Drosophila melanogaster: one gene and its partner. The protein of the gene in region 1 purifies or fractionates together with the protein of each later gene. This does not show direct contact. Each region holds a gene or a part of one and is shown on either strand. Other genes may lie near its edges.

Region 1 (9,580 bases):
GCGTGTATATACTCACTGGCATTGCAGGTGGAAGCTGGAGGGGCATCGATCGCAGCACAGCAGATTGCCGCCCTCCTCGCAGGCGTCACAATAGTCGTGGTTGTGGCCCCTGCCCGGGCGCCTGTAGTACGGATGCTTCGTGTTGGTGGACCGCTGCATCATCTTCTCGTCCTCGTTGGGCGGCGGGCGGATGAGCTGCTTGATTTGCTGCGCGAAGTAGTAAAGTTATGTTAAATGTGGGAAATGGAGACAGTTGTGAATGCGTTAATGTGGCAGCTCTAGAGTAGCCACCGCCGATTGGAATTGGAGCTCCGGGCAGTGGACACACTGAAGCTCTGAATGGCGTCCCGGCGGCACACTCACCTCCATGATGCTCAGTGAGGCGTTCGGGTCCTGGTCCAATTTTGACATCTTTTTCGCTCGCTCCTCTTATCCGGTGTACACAATCAATCTCGGAGCGACTTCACTTGGCGACGGAGGCGGGCGCAGTGTCGGTTGTCCAGCCCTGCGCATCCGACGAGCGAATGGCCACACTGCGCGCCCACCGATAGGCGATTAACGGAAATTCAGTGCAGACTGCATTTCACTCCAAATCTAACTACTTGCAATTAATAAAGTTTATATTGGGTATACACATTCGTAACCGAAAAATACCCAAGCAAACAAATAGTTAAAAATTAAATACCCAAAATTCTCATATTTCGCTCAGACCTCACTATAGACACCTATATGTTTACATCTTTTGGGCACACCACTAGCTAGCACTCGCTGTTTTGGACCAACGCCCGCTAAAAGAGCATCACAGCTGGCGGACGACGCAATTTGCCAGTTGATTTTACCAAACAATAGAACAAAATAGTGCAATGTTTTCGATATTTGGCAAACGCAAGCCCGCGGAAACGCCCACGGATGACCAGCCCATCCAGGGACCGGCGGAGGCAACCCGTCCAGGCACCAGTGTCGATGATTTCGTGTTCATAGAGCGCAAACCAGTACCGGATGCTCCTCATCCGGGTGTTCCAGCCGGCTCCATGTATCCACCTATGCCGCCAGCGGGCTATCTGCCCTATCCGCCGATGCCAGGACCGCGCAGCGATCAAGTGAAGCAGCCCGGAGCCCAAGGACCCGTCAATTACTTGCAGGACATTCCATTCGAGCTGGCACCCGGATTGGCCAACAAGGATCGCTACACCAGCACCCAAATGCAGGTGGACAGCATATTGGCGCTACTAACGCGCCAATTGTCCGTGGACGAGCTGGCCGAGGAGTACACCTTCGCCCTGGAGCGATCCGTGCAGAACGAGTGTTACTAGCTTTAGATCCATAGATCCACTGGTTAATATTCATACATTACATTACATTACATATAATAAAACGTTGCTTATTTAATTGTAAACCACATATGCAGTGCTCTTTTGCTTGTTAGTGGTGTGAGTCATTGGAATTCCTTAATCTTGTTGCCATACAATTAATGTTCCATTTCTTTGAAAACATGTAGAACTTTTCTGACTATCAAGTAGTCCTTTGGTTTTACCTCGCTCACATTTCAACTGGGACTGCTCATAAGGTGATCCACTATCGCAGCGTGAATACATAAAATTGTTAGTGCTCCCGTTTACCCAAATTTTTCGTACACAAAAAAGATTTCGAAACATTATTTTGTGTTTATAAGTAACCAAGTTCAAAGCTAAATTTCCAATACGTACAAATTTACCAAGCCGAGACGAGCCGTTCCGTTTCGTTTCGTTTAGTTCAGTTCCGTGTAGTACTCTTCAGCCATGGCCAGCTCCAATGTCTCGGATTGGGATGAGCCGATGCCCACGTCGACGGAGTCGCTGCCCGAGGAGGAGGATCCGGATGTGTGCGCAGAGGAGAACGTAAAGAAGCGGCGGGAGGAGGAACTGGACAAGCTGGAGTTGTATGTGCGGCGCATGGCCTACCAGCCGACACTGCCGCCCAAGGTAAAGCCCTACGACGTGGCCCTGTCCAAGCCCAAGTTGCACACGCTCATCGACAACTACGAGCAGTTCAAGGATGTATACGATCCGAAGCTGCGGGCCAAGCGGATCAAGCGCATGCTGGGCAAATACAAAGCCATTACCACGGAGTAAGTGCAGCGCTTGCATCAGTTGCTAACGCGATCTAATCATCTCATCTCATTCCCAAAAACAGACAGCTGGAGCAGATCCTTAAGAGCAACAAGACCAAGGAGCGAAAGAAGGAGGATTTCCTGAAGCGCAAGCAGGAACTGTACTACAACATGCTGACCAAGCTGGAGCGCCAGTGCCGCACCCAGTACCTGAACGTGCTCATCAAGAAGTTCGCCAAATTCATTTCCCATCTGGCCACAACGATGCGCATTCCGCCGCAGCTGGTGGATCCGTATGCGCGCATGCAGCGCGGCATCTTCTGCAACATCCTGTTGGCCATTGGTGTGCAGCCCACCTCACAGTCGGCCATCTACTACACCAGCCAGGATGCCATCGAGTACGATGTGTGCCATCGCCTCGCGCACGCGCTGCTCAGTTTGATCATTAAGGCGCTGGACTCGGCAGCCACAAGGGATCCCAACGAGCTGGCCAAGCCGGCCGACTTGGACTTCGAGATGGACAATCACATCAAGCGTCGGCTCATGTGCGCCGCCGAGAAGAAGCTGCTGTACGAGCGCCGTCGCAAGAAGCCCCAGCCGCAGGGTCTTGGAGCCTTTGAGAAGTGCACCCGCTATGACTGCGACTAGGACGGCTCCTTCAGTGTATTCGTGTTAACATTTGGCTACTATTTATTCGCATAAGAAGTCTTGCTCACATGGTCACCTCGTTGTTTTGGTCTTGGTTTTGGTGGCGGGTATCGTCTGCTCCTTCATCTGGATGCACAGCCAGTTGGCGGGCACCTCGAAGCTGTCTGTGGGATGCGGCGTGTACTGCGCGCAGTAGGGCACATGCCAGGTGTCCGCCACTTGGTGGGCACACAGCCGATGACGAACGGGCTCCTTGACTATAATCTGACCCGTTTGCGTTTGGGTGACCAGGGAGAACTGGTGCTCCTGCTGCCAGCGACGAAAGATGGGCTTCAGCTCGGTGCCCAGATGAAAGGCGTGACTGCGCATCAGGTCGCGGGAGAAGAAGTCTGTCTCCTGGCCGCTGCGCAGCGTGGCATACAGCAGGAAGGGATCATCGTGCGACCTATAAGCAAACGAACGAACGAATTAGTCTACCTATCCCTTTCCAATTCGAGATGAATTCCCTTACAGATTGCTGGTCAAGAAGAGGCTGGCATTGCAGTGCACATAGTGCATGGCCTGCTTGGACCAGTTGCGCATGTGCTCGCGTCCCAGGACGAGGACACGCTTGTCCTGTTCCCGGAAATGACGCACCACCGTAGCCACTAGCTTGGCCAGCTGCTGCGGCGTCTTTTTGGTGCCCGTAGAGTAGGCCACATTGAGGCCATCGATCACACAGTCGTATGGCGCCGTCTTTTCGACAAACTTCTTGAACCTGGCCACCTCCTCGGGCGTGGAGCGCTGGAAGACGTCTCGTCGTATGAGCACGCGCTCCAGAAAACATTCGCTTAGCTGCCGGAACTCCTCATCGCTGATGGCCACCGGCTGGAGGTGCTGCTGGCAGGACTGGCACTTGCCCAGACCTCCCAAATGGGTGGTCCTGGTGTGCAACAGTTGGGGCACCTGGCTGGACAGCTCCTGCAATCGTATCGCCACCCGCTGGCTGACTAGAATCTCATGGCGTTCGAGGAATTGCAACAAAAGGCTAAGCTGTGCAGGAAGTTGTGCCGTTTCGTTGGCCAGTCGATTGAGCAGCGCCAGATAGACCTCGCATTTGGGCGGCTTCCGTGCCGTGGCCATCTCTTCCAGTAGGCGCCAGGCCAATTCCTGCTCCGGTGTCGCCACACTGAAGGCCTTCTCCGCCAGCGCGGAGTAGGCGGCCACACTGGGCGTACTGGTGACCTTCATCATCTCGAGCAGCGGCAGTCCGCGCTGCCAATCATCGCCGCTGGTGGCCACCAGTCCATGAATCACATTCTCGCAGCTGCTGGCGTCCAGAGTTTCGTGCTCCGCCTGCAATGATCGGCAGATCTGCAGTATCTCCGACTGTTCCGCCTCGCTAAGCGGTCGCTCGTGGTAGGCGGCATTGTAGACCCTCAGCAGGCGACCCAGTGTCGCTGCATTCGGTTTGGAGCCCCTGCTCCTCAGGAACTCCACATAGCTTTTGGCCAACGACAATTGGTTGGGTGCACTGCACACGCCCAGAATGACGGCGTCCACGTTGTGCCCGTTGATGTGCTTGTACCCGTCCACGAGCGACCTCCGCACCTCCGTCCACTCCGCGCCACTCAGCTCATGGCGACGCTCGAAGAGATCACTGCGCAGCTGGTCCAGCCGATCGGCCGGCAGGCTGCCCGGCTGCGGGCGCCGCTTGTGCTGGCTAGCCAGCCAGCGCGGATGGGCGTGCCCGGCGATCGGCAGGAGATTTCGTAGCAGGCGTAAATTATACATTAGTTAAATTTAAATTTAGATTAAAATTATTCTCGCTTAACACAATAATTCCAATAAGAATTATGCCGGCTGGCGGTGTGGCCAGTCACACGCTGCACTTAGCCAGTGCACGCACCGCATTTGGTATATGCCAAATGAAATATACCGAAGTAAGTGTACATTTATTGCGTGCCACGTTACGGGCACACTGCATTGCGACAAAAGTTGCAACTCACTACTTTTCTGAATTTAATTTATTTTAAGCGTTGCACAGCCGAAAGTACAGCGTAAATCCTCGAACAAGATGACCGTGACCGCCACACCGATGCCGGACAATCTGCGGGTGAAAGCCTTATCCGAGTACCGAAAGAAGTTGCTAGAGCACAAGGAAATCGAGGGACGCCTCAAAGAAAGTTCGTCTATCCGCTGATCTCCGCCAGCAAATGCGTATTAACCTGGCTATTTTCAGAGCGCGAGGAGATCAAGGATCTGACCAAGCTGTACGACAAGTCGGAGAACGATCTAAAGGCCCTGCAGAGCGTGGGACAGATCGTTGGTGAGGTGCTGAAGCAGCTGACCGAGGATAAATGTGAGAACTCTCCCATATTCTGTCTAAGATTGCCTCTATTCTAACTACTTACTTGCCACACAGTCATTGTGAAGGCCACCAATGGACCCCGCTACGTGGTCGGCTGCCGCCGGCAGCTGGACAAAGCCAAGCTGAAGTCCGGAACTCGTGTGGCCCTCGACATGACCACACTGACCATTATGCGCTACTTGCCGCGCGAGGTGGACCCACTGGTGTACAATATGTCGCACGAGGATCCCGGGGATGTCACCTACTCGGCCATCGGCGGCCTAACCGACCAAATTCGCGAGCTGCGCGAAGTGATCGAGCTGCCCCTACTGAATCCGGAGCTCTTCCTGCGCGTCGGCATCACGCCACCGAAGGGTTGTTTGCTGTACGGACCTCCTGGCACCGGCAAGACCCTGCTGGCCCGTGCAGTGGCCTCCCAGCTGGACGCCAACTTCCTCAAGGTCGTGTCCTCGGCGATTGTCGACAAGTATATTGGCGAGAGTGCGCGTCTCATTCGCGAGATGTTCAACTATGCCCGCGACCATCAGCCCTGCATCATTTTCATGGACGAAATCGACGCTATCGGTGGTCGGCGCTTCTCCGAGGGCACCTCTGCCGATCGCGAGATCCAGCGCACCCTGATGGAGCTGCTCAACCAGATGGACGGCTTCGATTCGCTTGGCCAAGTCAAGATGATCATGGCAACCAATCGTCCGGACACCCTCGATCCTGCCCTTCTGCGTCCGGGTCGCTTGGACAGGAAGATCGAGATTCCGCTGCCCAACGAGCAGGCTAGGTAAGCTATATTCCCACATTGATTGGCTCTTATCTTTGATGTCTTCTTGGTGAAATATGAATAGGGATTTCTCAGATTAGATACTTACATACTTTGTCATACTGATGGTAAAACCCCAACTCCTTTTAGGTTGGAAATTCTCAAGATTCACGCACTGAAGATCGCCAAGCACGGCGAAATCGACTACGAGGCCATTGTCAAGCTGTCGGACAACTTTAATGGCGCTGATCTGCGTAATGTCTGCACGGAGGCGGGTCTCTTTGCCATTCGGTAAGTGCGAAGTTTCCACCGCTTGATAAGCTCCCTAAAATGTAACTATTCTTGCAAATCCAGTGCGGAGCGGGAGTACGTCATCCAGGAGGACTTCATGAAGGCGGTGCGCAAGGTGTCGGACAACAAGAAGTTGGAGAGCAAGCTGGACTACAAGCCCGTCTAGGAGCCAGTGCTCGCCACCGCCCCCCATAGAGATAACCATACACCATTTACACACATATACAGATATATATATATTATGCCCACAACGGGCCTGTCACACAAAGTCCGTTGCTTCTTCTCCATATGCTAATTAAATGCTATGTAAAGATTAGGTTCATTTAATTTCCTTTGGGTATGTGGGCGCCCGGGGATTAGCCGCACTTCTGCTGCTGCTGCTCCTCGATGCGCCGCTTCTTGCGCTCCAAATAGTCGCTAACGTTGTCGAAGCGCTTCTTAAACCAAACGGACAAGTCCTCGGGAATGAATGGCGGTGCGCCCTCCTCGTTGGCACCCAATCCGTCTAGCACCATCTTCAGCCAGCCCTCGGGCACGCCGCTGCTCGCCGGCTGGCCAGTTGCGATGTCGTAGACGCGCAAGCTTAAGCGTTCGTTCTCTGCGCCGGTGATGTAGATCCGGTCGCTGGTTAAAGTAAAGTTGCTAATGCTCCATGAGCCCGCTTCGGCGCAAACCAGTTGTGTGGCCGTCACGCTCCAGGTGTCATCGGAGCTGCGCTCCAGGCGATACAATCCCAGGGCGTCCACGTGCTCGTAGAAGAGCACCGCCGCCTGGAAGACCTTCTCCGGCTCCAGCTGGCGTACCAATAAACGAACCGCCGGTGCTGGTAGCTCGTGCTGCAGCAGCTCTTTGCCCTGAATGTAGTTCCATACGCGCAAGGTCTTGTCCCCCGAAGCGGAGGCGATATGCTGCTCCGTGAGCAGTGCCAGGCCTGAGACAAACTCCCTGTGGCCCAGGCAATAGCTGTGGATGTCAAAGGTGGCGGGATAGTTGGTCACGCGTATCTTATCATCCCGATCGCAGGTGATGATATGCTGCTGGTCCTCCGACCACAGGATGTCGTATACCACACTTAAATGGCCCAACAGCAGGCGCGGCGGAGCCTCCACCTCAACGCAGTCGTACTGATAGCAATCGCCAGTCTTGTCTGTGACCAGAATGGAGCTGCTGTCGCTGCAGAAGCGCAGGGCACTGGACGCCCGGGCCAGTGGGCGGGCGGAGAGCAGGCGGGCGTTCTCCGGCCGTGAACGATAGAGCAGGAGAGCTTTCTGTTTTCCACTGGTGGTCACGGCCAGCAGCTGTCCGTCTGGCGAGTAGGCCACATTCTGTACCGATGTGCTGGTGGCACATCCCAAACCGGAGGCGCTGGCAGAGGTTCCGCCCTCCTCTGGCTGATTGGCAAGCTGTTGCTCCTTGCCACCCGGTGCCTGACCGGATGCGGCTGTGGCTGTGGATGCGGCTGCTGCGGCTGTACACGATTCCTGCGACTGGGATGTATGGCCTTTCAGGCCAAGGTCGGGCGGCAGCTCGATCTCCTTGAATATCTGCAGGTCGTCGGGGTTCACGAAGAGCACCCTGCGGCCATGGCCGAGCACGATTTCGGGTTCCGCGAACGAAATTGTTGTGCACATTCTTGCGACTCGATTCGATAGCCACCGATAGGTTTGCACAACTACTGACTACTGGTATCGACGAGCGATAAGATCTGCTCACCAGGGCTGCACGCTGCGGTATGACCAATTGATGCATTCGTTAGAATGTAGTGTGACCCTGTTGCTGCCAACGGCAGTGAGACCGTATTATTGGCTGGAAAATAATGCCCGTGAAATTTGTTAAATAGAGGGGATTATACGGATGTATAGCGAGGAAGTCCAATTCATCCATTAGCCCGTGTTCGTGTGCGTTTATGCTGTGCGTGTGCGTTTGTGTGAGTGTGTGTGCAGCACGAAACCGGCGAATCCCATGCGAGTGAACGAGTGGGCAGGAGGAAGCGCTGCAAAAATCTCATCATCAATTATATAGGCCATTGGATTGCGGGACTTGGATTTGGGCCATGAAGAGCGTGCTGATGGTGGCCGAGAAGCCCTCGCTGGCGGCCTCGCTGGCGGGGATTCTCTCAAACGGACGCTGCACGGCCAAGCGTGGTAAGTGCCAGTAGATCAACACGAACTCCCAAACTCAGCAAGCAACCGAAATTGTATGTAATCCTCTCCAGGCACCGGCAACGGCTGCTCCACGCACGAGTGGACGGGCAACTTTCGGAACGAGGGCAGCGTCCACTTCCGGATGACTTCCGTGTGCGGTCATGTCATGTCGCTGGACTTCAATAAGAAGTACAACTGCTGGGACAAGGTGGATCCCATCCAGCTCTTCGGTTGTGCCACCGAAAAGAAGGAAACGAATCCCAAGCAGAACATGCGCAAATTTCTGGCCCACGAGGCGCGCGGCTGTGACTATCTGGTGCTCTGGCTGGATTGCGACAAGGAGGGCGAGAACATCTGCTTCGAGGTGATGGACGCCGTGAAGCATGTCATCAACAATGTGTACAGCGATCAGGTGACATACCGTGCCCACTTCTCGGCTATCACGGAGAAGGACATCAAGAAAGCCATGGAGACGTTGGGGCATCCCAACGAGAACGAGGCCAAGTCGGTGGACGCCCGGCAGGAATTGGACCTGCGCATTGGCTGCGCCTTTACCCGCTTTCAAACGAAGTTCTTTCAGGATCGCTACGGTGACCTGGATTCGTCGCTGATCTCCTACGGTCCCTGCCAGACGCCCACGCTCGGTTTCTGCGTGAAGCGGCACGACGACATCCAGACCTTTAAGCCGGAGAGCTTCTGGCATCTGCAGCTCCTCGCCGGCCAGCCGGAAGTCACGCTTGAATGGGCGCGCGGTCGGGTCTTCAAGAAGGACATCGCCATCATGCTGCTGAATCGCGTCAAGGAGCACAAGAAGGCCACGTAAGACCTAATCATGGCTGCTGTCACTACGGCTAGTCTATAAATAAGCATGCTTTCGTCACTTTTCCGTTTGCTTATAACCACTTTTTGGTCACTCGAAAGACAGCTGACTCTTTTTTTTCCACCCATTACGCCATTCCTTCCAAATCTGGTGCCTACATCATCTATGTATCTGCCAGAGAAGCAATCATGCCGAATTAGCATAATTTCTGTTTGTGTTCATAACGAATGCAAACAAACAAAATGCTGCTGATCCCCAGAATTTAAGAAAGCTCACCAAGAATTGACTATCTTTTCCCTTTCCATCTAGTGACCACTTCCTCTCTTTTCTTTTTTCAGTGTGGAGAGCGTGGCCAGCAAGGAGGCCTACAAGAGCAAACCACAGGCACTGAACACCGTCGAACTGATGCGTATCTGCAGCTCCGGACTGGGCATCGGACCCTTCCAGGCGATGCAGATAGCTGAGCGCCTGTACACGCAGGGCT
Region 2 (9,580 bases), about 12 Mb from region 1:
CCCTCTCCCTGTCGCGTTCCTGAAGCAGTTCCGTCAACTGGCGACTCATCTCGCCCACCTTCTGCTCCAGCTCTTGGCTGTATGTGGTCTGGACGAGCAGATCCTGCTCCAGAGTGTGCATACGCTGCTTGAGATCGTGCCAACGCTTGGAGCAGCTGCTGCAGCACTCCAGTCCATTGCGGCGATCCCTGCCGGACTTGGACCTGCCCACCGCCGGACTGCCGCCAGAGCTGGAATTTGAGGAGCAGACATCTATACTGGTGTTGGACACCAGCACGGCTGTGTTGGTTGAATCGTCCAGGAACAGGCGGGTCAGATCCTTGCTGCTGCTGCTCTTGAGCAGAGCCAGCTTGTTGGGTCTGGTTTTCAGCTCTCTGAGTAGGACGACCGCCTCGGGCCGCCCGGTATCCTGCTTGCCCGCCTTGTCCAAGGTGCAATTGGAGCCACCACTGCCCTCCAGGCGAAACAGAGTGCTCGAGGTGACGCTGTGGCCGCGCACATAGGCGTGTTGGGCCTGCGACGATGACGACGACGTCGTGGAGCGATCGCGAAAGCAATTCATCAGGGTCTTTCCGGGCTGGCGTCTCTCGTGTGCCACGAATCCCGCGGCGCCGATTACGATATGCGCCGAGTCTGGAGTGCCAGGCGTTACTGGCCGCTGACTTGTCGTCGTCTGCATGATGCTGGGCTTGGCGCTATCGGGTTGTTCGCAACACCCTTTCCACTCTGGCTTCTTCTCGATTGGCTGCACTTGGGCTTATCGCCGCCGCGCCAGTGAAGCAGCTGACCAGTGGAGGGAGAGCCCTTCCCTTCGTCTCCTGCTTCTCCACCCGTTTCCCAGTGACGTCAAGTGTAGGAACTGTGCAAAAAGAAATAATCGGGTTTATAATTAGTTTATGACCATTGAATTTAAGTTCAGATAGCAAATGCACAGTGAGCCCTGGGAATTACAAATTATGTTTACTTGAAATATTCAATATTGAAATATATATGAAAATATATGAATATAAGATACAATTAGATAAACTGTAGTAAATCCCTATATAAAGTGCAGCTTCTCAATGGAAGCCATACTCCTTAGCCAGTGCCCACTGTGGTAACCACCCAACTCTTCCGCTTTTCAAGAACCTCTTCCTGCCGAATCGTATAATGTTGCCCAATGAAGTTGCAACTGCAACAGCAGCCACACCTTGTACACCAGTTGACCACGAATCACTTGTGGGTCTTCCGATTCTGTGTTTTCCTCGGATTATCAAACTTTTCCTTGGCGCGCTCGGATGACGCAGTATCAGAGGCGCGATTGCCGGTCGGTCACGGATAGTGGATAATTCGCAGGCAGCTCCGCTTTCAACTGACTAGCTGGGACGAGCGTTTGGAATTCTGTGGGCGCTTATCGCAATTCCAATAGTTCCACACTCGCAGGCCACTCCGACACTCCAGATAAGATAGCCGGAGAACCAAACAAATGCCAAAGCACTCTCTGCACACATGTATATACGAATATAACTGGCTGTCACAGAATTGACGATTATGTGTGAAATCCACTGGAGGAGTTGCTATTCTCCTATGCACACGATATATGTATATATCCAACACTCGTATCGCTACTGTATGCTGCCGACTTGGACTTTGGCAATTTCTGGGTAACTGGAGCAAGTCAGGGCCTTGACCAGCCCATGGAGATATAGCCAATCGGTCGTGATGTAGTGCTTTTATATTTAGGAAGTACCGAGTGCCTTATATCCGGTGGTGATTAATCGCAAATGGTGTGATAAGTGTAAGTATATGTTTTGAATGGTTCCATGGCACACCATGGTGATAATCCAATTAAATTAGGTGCTTTTACCTACATTCCATTACGACTGATTTCGATTGCAATCATTTGGAGATCTCTTGTGCTCGGTGTGGAGCTCCTTGTGTCGCTTGGCATCTGGAACAATCGAAGGGCAGGCTATCGTCGTGCTTGGTCCAATGAACCATGTAGCTATTCACGTTCTTTACGACTTCCTCCAATAGCCCAAATTTCCCGTGGTAGTGAGAACAGGAGGCAAATAGCTTGCTCTCCCGCTCGTTCTGCTGCCGGCGCATTTTCTTCTGGTGGGAAGTGGTCCTCAAGAGGCAAATGAAACATTAAAGCTGCGAGGAATCGAGCGGAGATTTTCATTTTATTGCGCCACAGCTTCAGCCGATCCAGTTTCGGTGACAGGATATCCTCTGCATGTCCCAAATCATCTGGAGATGCCGACACTGAAAACGCTCGTTGGATGGCTGATGAATCTATGATCTGCTCTGGACGTAGATTTTCCCCAAAATATTTGTACCTCATTTAGCAGATTTACATTGCGATATTTTCGGTGGTTCCTTCCGTCCAAATTCCAGAGCTTAGACTGCTGTTCCACATGGAGAAACTGGAGCATCAGTCGACGCAGCAGGCTGGAAAGCGGAAACTAAAGTTGGGAAAACATTGAAATATATTGCTGACTCACAGTTCCCCCATTTTTGCTGGACTGCTCTAGCTATCGCTGTATAGACAGTCCAGCACAGTGTCCATTTCGTTCTTCTTCACTTAAAATGCATCCTCATTGACCACCAGTGCATCATCTCCTGCCGGGGATTCCTTCCACTTAAATTGCTCTGCGTCTTGTGTTCCCAAGCGATCCGTTTGCTGGACAGGGGGTACATTCTCCTGATCCCCGCCAGCTGCCCTACGAAGTTCCCGGCTCAGCAGCGCTGATATGGCATTATCTTCTGAAGAGCGATTTTCAAATGTTCGTTGTTTACATTTTGAAACGGAACTGCCAACTTGCGGGAACAACAGGGAAATCTTAAGGGCTAGCGACTTAGAAATACCCTTTTATTCAATAAATATTTAAGCTCAGACCAACTTTGTAAATATGATAGTAAACTATTTTCTTATTATAAATACATGGTTGCTTAAGAATTAATTGCACAAATAGTAAGTCAGTAATAAAATTGACTTACAAAAAATTAATCCACCTGTTGCAACGACCTGTGCAGCCAATACACCCCAGCTATCCCTTATATATAACCAGTGTTGAAGAACAGCAGGCAGACGCGCCTCCAAAATTTGAAATGTGACATTGTGTGTTTAATAGCAATTATTACATAATTTCGGGACAGATAATAAAACTTTTCAGCTTAACCACTAGACAATAGATAAATGCAAACTGATCGAGCCACTTCCACAGGTCCAAGACAGTGCTCAGCCGGATCTAGGGCATCATGCGCAGAGCACCGTCGATACGGATGACCTCGCCGTTGAGCAGCGGATTCTCGTAGATGGCCTGCACCAGGTGGGCGTACTCACTGGGCTCGCCCAGGCGCTGCGGGAACGGTATGGACTTGGCCAGGAAGGTGCGCACCTTCTCCGGCAGGGCGGCCAGCATAGGCGTGTTGAACAAACCCGGTGCAATGGTGCAGATACGTATGCCCTGGGTGCTCAAGTCACGGGCAATGGGCAGGGTCATGCCCACCACGGCTGCCTTGGAGGCGGAGTAGGCCGCCTGGCCGATCTGGCCATCAAAGGCAGCCACCGAGGCGGTGTTCACGATCACGCCGCGCTGTCCATCCTGATTGGGCTCATTGGCGCCCATCAGTCCGGCGGACAGACGGATCACATTGAACGTGCCCACGGTATTGATGTTGATCACCCGCTGGAAGTCTTCCAGGCGGTGCGCCACGTTCTTGTTGAAGTTGAACGTCTTTACCGCGGTGGCTGTGCCCGCACAGTTCACAGTCAGATCCAGACGACCGAACTTATCCTTGGCCGTCTGCAGAGCGGCGCTCACATCCTTCTCGGAGGTCACGTCCACGGGCACGAAGACCACCTTGTCGCCCAGCTCCTTGGCCACCTCGTTGCCCTTGGAGGAGGGCAGATCGGCCAGGATCACGCTGGCGCCCTGCTTGGCCAGGCGCTCGGCGGTGGCGCGGCCCAGTCCAGAGGCTCCTCCGGTCACCAGGGAAACGGCGTTCTGGGGGTGGGAAAGGCATGGGGTTAGAAACTATATATATATGTATATATCCAAGGAAATAGATTCTAAAAATGCACTCCATTCCATTTCATCCCAACTACAACATCAATGTTTAGAGATCTTAACAGAATAAGCATATAGAATGCAAAATATACGATCTGTAGGACTGAGATCCTTATCTTTAACAACATTGAGAAGTTGTCCGTTAAAGTTAGTATAGAAATAGCACGATCCTCAATTTGCAGATAAACTTATAATCCGATGCCGGTTTATCTTATTATTTCGAAAGCAGCTGACCGATGCGTTCGGTGTCCAGTTTCCCGATAAGCCGCATTGTATTATTGTATAACTCGGTGGGGAAGTAATGCTAATTGTTGGCTGGGTACAAGGTACATCGCTGTGGGCAGAGATACAGTTATTTATGGGACTCCATGTTTATAATAGACACGAGTTCACATCCCAATTGGACTTTGCACCCCGGCCGCGCAGTCATCGGCCGCTTTTGCTGCACTAATTCCCGTCTAATCGCAGTGTGATCCTTATTTACAGCACCCCACGTACCTTGATCATTGTTCTGGCTGGTGGCGTTGTGTTGTGGGTGCGAAAGGCGGTGGTTACTTAGTGCTCGGCAAAGCTTTTTAAGCAAAAACTTGTTAAGCGATTCGAAACCGTGCAGTGTGACCGTATGTGCGCCGCTTGAAAATACTGCCTACCGGTTAGGGGGCTCCTATCATTGGCTTAGCTTTTAAATTTTGAGTTTTTTTTTAAATTTAAATTTAAATCAATTTGTTTATTACCAAGCAATTAATTTGCAAGATTTTGAAAGAACTTTTAAATATAAATTACCTCGAGCAGGCAAACAGTGAAGATTTTATTTGGCAAGCTAACTAACTTGGCAACTTATTATTTCAAGAACATGTTTTTGCAACAATTAAGGTGGCAGCATTCAAGTCTTTATAAATGAAATCTTTAGCTATTCAAATTCAATGGCTTAAAACAACTTATGCTATAGATTATTACAGTAAATTTTAGTTATAAGCTATTCATTGTATGAATTCGTATTTAGCTTCCACGCCAAAATGTATGCCGTAGAATTACATATACTCATTTAATTTATTTTATGGTTTATAACTTAAATTAATTTGAACATAAACATTTATGCTTTAAATAAAAACAAAACATTGTTTCTGTTTAATTTAAGATTATTTTCATTTTTAATATTTCTTATTACTTCACTTAATAAATAATAATTAAAAAAAAATATTGCTTATATAAATAAGGAGTATTTTAAATAAATCATAACAAAGTTATATCCGAATTTAATTTATACCCCCAATTTATATACTTTTGTCCTCCGATGTATGGAAGAACATCGATGATTCCTCGAAAAACATCGATGCTTGTGATTGTTTGAAAAGATCGATGATATCGATGATGTCATCGATGTTTCTCCACCTCTAAGTCAGATTGCCTATTGAAATACAAAATAAATGAGTACTTCCTAGAAATCAAATGTTAAAGAACACAATATGTCGCTCGGTGGAGAAAGTAAGCACACGCCAAAGTCTTCCAATCTGAGGCCGTTGGACGACGACCAGCTGGTTAGGATCATCAGCACGCCACGTCCGTCAAATGGTAAAACCCATGCAAACTGCGCGTTTGCCAGAATGCCAGAACCAAGATTCAACTCCACTTTTCCACGCAATATGGCAAGGAGTGAGCCAGCATCCCGCCCAGGACCGCCTCAAGCGCCTGCAGGGCCAACTAAAGCGGGTGCAGGACAACGAGAAGGAGCAGGGGACCACCAAGCGGATCACCCACAGTTCCTCCGCATCTCGTCGATCAAGTGCGTCCACATCTACGCCCCAGCGACTCCTGAAGTTTCCGCCTAAGGTGGCGATGAATGCCTGGGAAAAGCCAAAAGCCCTGGTCGATGCCAATCGCCTGAAGGCGGGACGTACCCAAACTGGTGAGTGCCCGGTGCATATAGTTACTCATATCCCATGTTCTCCTTATCGTCTCCCTAGCCTACCAGCGTCTCATGCTGTTAAGAGCTTCGCTGCAGCAGAAGCAGCTATATGAGGAGCGCAACAACAATATTGTGGCCAAGATCAACGAAGAGGTGATAGAAAAACAACCAGAAGCCTGCAACATCACAAATCCAAGTGCATTTGATGGCTCGACGGCCAGCGATATGGAGGTCGAGCCCATGGAATGGCAGGAGTCTATTGAAGAGGAGGCGGCACAGAATGATCAGGATGAGGCTAAGAAAGGGGACGACACTCTATTGATGCTGCCGGCGGAGTCCATTGAAGAGGAGGCGCCACAGAAAGGTCAGGATGAGGCTAAGGAAGAGGACGACACTATATTGATGCTGCAGGCGGCCGATGCCGAGGAGCTGCCCCCAAGGCTTGAGGATTACATGTACTTTGTGCTGGACACCAACGTCCTCATACACAACCACAAGTTCGTGGAGAGACTGACCGATGTGGTGCTGCCGGGCACGGTGGGCAGCATGCTGTACCTTCCGTACATAGTAATCAAAGAGCTGGACAAGCTAAAGAGCAAGTACCAGTCGGACTGCCTGCAGCGTGTGATTGCCATGCGAGCAATACGCTTTTTGAACACCAAGTTCGACGAAAGCTTTCAAATACAAGGTGGGTCGTGGATTGTGTATGTAAATCGTTGGAACTTACCTATGTGTATTATCTTTGTTGCAGCTCAATCCGCTTTGGAGGAGGCGGATCACCTGATCAAGATCGACTGCCCGGATGACAGCATTTTGAATTGCTGCCTGCAGCTGCAGGCGCAGGTTCCCCACATGATCCTGCTCACCAACGACGCGAACCTTCGGCTCAAGGCCAATGCCTCCAACATTCAGGTCTCCTGTCGCTCTGATCTGATGTCCACCTATGTGGATGAGTTCGCTGGCTTCGGCGATTAACTCGATGCCGTCCGAGCTCCCACCTTACATTTAGTATACGAAAGACTGTGACTGCGTTTGTGATACGGGATCGGGTGGCGGGCGAAAGGGATCGACCAGTCAAGCAAGATGCACCGCGGCATACATGAAGTACAATGAATCTTTATACCCACAAACATCATCTAGCATACATTCAGAGGAAGGCCACTGACGACGTGTTCACCCAAGACTAAAAACTTGCACATATTAGAAGATCAGATTTGACTGCCATTTGCTACGTATAATAAAGTTTGTTTCTGGATATATTTGCCTGGCGATTAGCGTTCTAGAGATAGCCAATCCGCGTGGCCCGGAAGGGCTTCCTCCGATCGAAGATGGCCGGCTCGCTTGTTTGGCTTTAATTAGCCGTACGCTGGAGTTGCCGACTTTGATTGCGCCTTATCGGCTGGGCAAACAAGATCGAAGCAACGGCAGAGGATTCCCCACATCCGCTGGAGTTCACTTGCCCGCTTCGTCGGCCAGATCGAGCTCAAAGCGTACGCAGCGTTCGCCCAGCGCGGTGGTTTCTCTCCTCCCAAACTCACTCCCATGGTGGAAAATTCTGTGCTTTACTCTCGATAGTGACGACTTTATTGCCGCGCGATAACTTAAGCTATACAAAGTGTATGTATTTGGGAGTGTTAAATAGGGTGAATCAATATTTATAGTTGCGAAAGACATGAGGAAAACAACGTGCTCGTAAAATTTTGGGAAATTCCAGTAGCGGAAAGTTTTTCAGTTCATTTAGCGAATAATGCGAATCTCACCCTCCACTTTTATGTACACAAAATCAAATTTAGCATTTAGCATGTAAAATCTACGGATATCCATTTAATTTTCAGGCAATTACAAACAAATTGGCAAAAAACTGTAGGCTTACAGAATACGGAATACGTTACTAAGCAAGGAAAGGGAAATTATGATTTTGTAAAAGAACAGTTTAAAATACGCAAACGCTACTCTCCGCCACTTGAAGATCTTATCTAAATAATTAATTTCACTTTAATCTTGAACACTACATTCTATGAGCTAATGTATCTTTGTTAATGTACAGTCTGGTGACGAAGATAAGAATACGGGTTTGGAAGCTAGTCGAAAACGACTCAAAAGTGGCGTTCGATTTGGGGAAAACGAATGCCAAAACTCGAGGAAAACTTATGCAAAACATTTTCCGCCACCATGAGCGCATCTTCCCAAAACGTCCACAACTTGGATTGCGGACACTAGAGGCTACGTGTACGTGTCGAATAGCGTGGCTAATTTACAGTCTGGCGAAATGAAAGGAGTGGCGAGTAAGGAGGAGCAGCTCCTTCAGACGCACTGCAGCTTGAGGCTAGCGTCGCGGACCTGCCTCTTTGCCTGATGCATGGCCATTAGCTGGCACCAGCCCCAGGCCAGGCTCCTGTCCTACATCTTTGGCTCTAACAGGGAGTTGCCGGAGCCGCCGATGCAGGGCAGATGCATCTGCATACGCTCCAGCTGATCCGCAAGTAGGCGCTGCTCGTTGGTCAGCCGCAGTATCTCCTGCTTCTCCTCGATGGTGTGGCCCTTGCGCTTGGCCCGATACTGCAGCATTCGCTTGTAGCACTCGAGTATCTCCTGGTCCACCATGTCCAATTTCTGTTTGATGGCAATGCGCTTGATTTCCTCACTGGCAACGGCACGCAGTCGCTTCAATTCCTCGCTGTTAAACTGCGAAATGGTGCTGATTTCGGTCGTTACGCGCTTGATCTCCATCAGCACCTCGTCCACGTCTTCGTGGGCCGCAAACTCACTGGCATCGATCAGTCCGTTCTCGATGAGAGTCTTCTTCAGGCGCTGTTCGATGCCCACGCCGTGTTTCATCATGGCGAGAGATCGAAAGTTCCCGGAAGCAGCTGCTGCGGCAGCATTTGCCGAGGACGAGGAGTGCGAGTGGGTGTTCTCGTTGCTGCTGCTCGTGGTGCTGTTGCTGTGCTCGCCCACGGCGGCCTGTTCGCTGGGCAGCGTCATCAGGGACTCCTCCATTAAGGCGGACACCAAACGCTGGGTGAGTGGACCAGTGATGCTCTCATCCACCATGCCTTCGGCCTTTTTGAGCATTCCGCTGGAATTGTTCGATTTAATTCGAGCTCCGCCCGGCTGCAGCGCCTTTATATCCTCCTGGGCCCAAACTGTGGAGTAGTGGGGACCCAGAGGTGGCACTGGCGGCACCAGTGGACCCCAATACTGCTCCAGCAGGTCATCGATTAGGCGCAGATCCTCGTTGGTTAGAGGCATGCAGTAGGGCTCCACGGATAGCCAGAACTTGTTGGGCGTATCGTTCTTGGGCACCGTCATTTTCGGTAGCTGCGGCAGCGGCTGGTGATGCGGCAGCACGGATCCAGAGGCATTGGCGGCCGCCAGTGTGGGCAGATAGTCCATGCTGTCGTCGGTGTGCACGACCAAGGGGCTGTTCTTGGCCTGGTGCTTCGAGGTGCCGCCGGAAACGCCCTGTTGCTTGAGAATGGTCATCGAAGAGTGCTTTTTGCGCACGCCCGTTGGCTCATCCCGCTTGCGCTTCGATTGGCTAGAGGATGAGGCGCCTCCGCCGCCCAGCGGGCTGCCCAGACTCGTCGACGAGTTGCTGCCGATGCCCAGCAAGCCG

The links.
Region 2: the proteins of mldr (region 1) and scu purify together in Drosophila melanogaster (affinity purification with western blotting; one study listed by BioGRID). This does not show direct contact.

The regions. Positions count from the first base shown.
Region 1 is NC_004354.4:6,286,337-6,295,916, reverse strand, and holds mldr (mulder), read right to left. Parts: upstream 4,615-9,580; 5' UTR 4,511-4,614; coding exon 3,249-4,510; intron 3,183-3,248; coding exon 2,810-3,182; 3' UTR 2,738-2,809; coding exon of another isoform or gene 2,173-2,737; 3' UTR 2,108-2,172; coding exon of another isoform or gene 1,779-2,107; 3' UTR 1,740-1,778; downstream 1-1,739. Other genes in the region: CG3815 (uncharacterized protein), read right to left, coding at 17-207, 364-411; CG15891 (uncharacterized protein), read left to right, coding at 864-1,313; CG15892 (uncharacterized protein), read left to right, coding at 1,779-2,107, 2,173-2,737; Rpt4 (regulatory particle triple-A ATPase 4), read left to right, coding at 4,794-4,902, 4,959-5,078, 5,142-5,862, 5,992-6,132, 6,196-6,298; wuho, read right to left, coding at 6,489-7,763; Top3beta (topoisomerase 3beta), read left to right, coding at 8,186-8,276, 8,348-9,095, 9,435-9,580.
Region 2 is NC_004354.4:18,086,364-18,095,943, reverse strand, and holds scu (scully), read right to left. Parts: upstream 4,686-9,580; 5' UTR 4,563-4,685; coding exon 4,554-4,562; intron 4,390-4,553; exon of another isoform or gene 4,290-4,389; intron 3,993-4,289; coding exon 3,234-3,992; 3' UTR 3,091-3,233; downstream 1-3,090. Other genes in the region: RhoGAP16F (Rho GTPase activating protein at 16F), read right to left, coding at 1-679; Swt1 RNA endoribonuclease, read left to right, coding at 5,522-5,627, 5,707-5,961, 6,020-6,649, 6,713-6,936; Ada3 (transcriptional adaptor 3), read right to left, coding at 8,362-9,580. UniProt on the Drosophila melanogaster protein: Mitochondrial dehydrogenase involved in pathways of fatty acid, and steroid metabolism.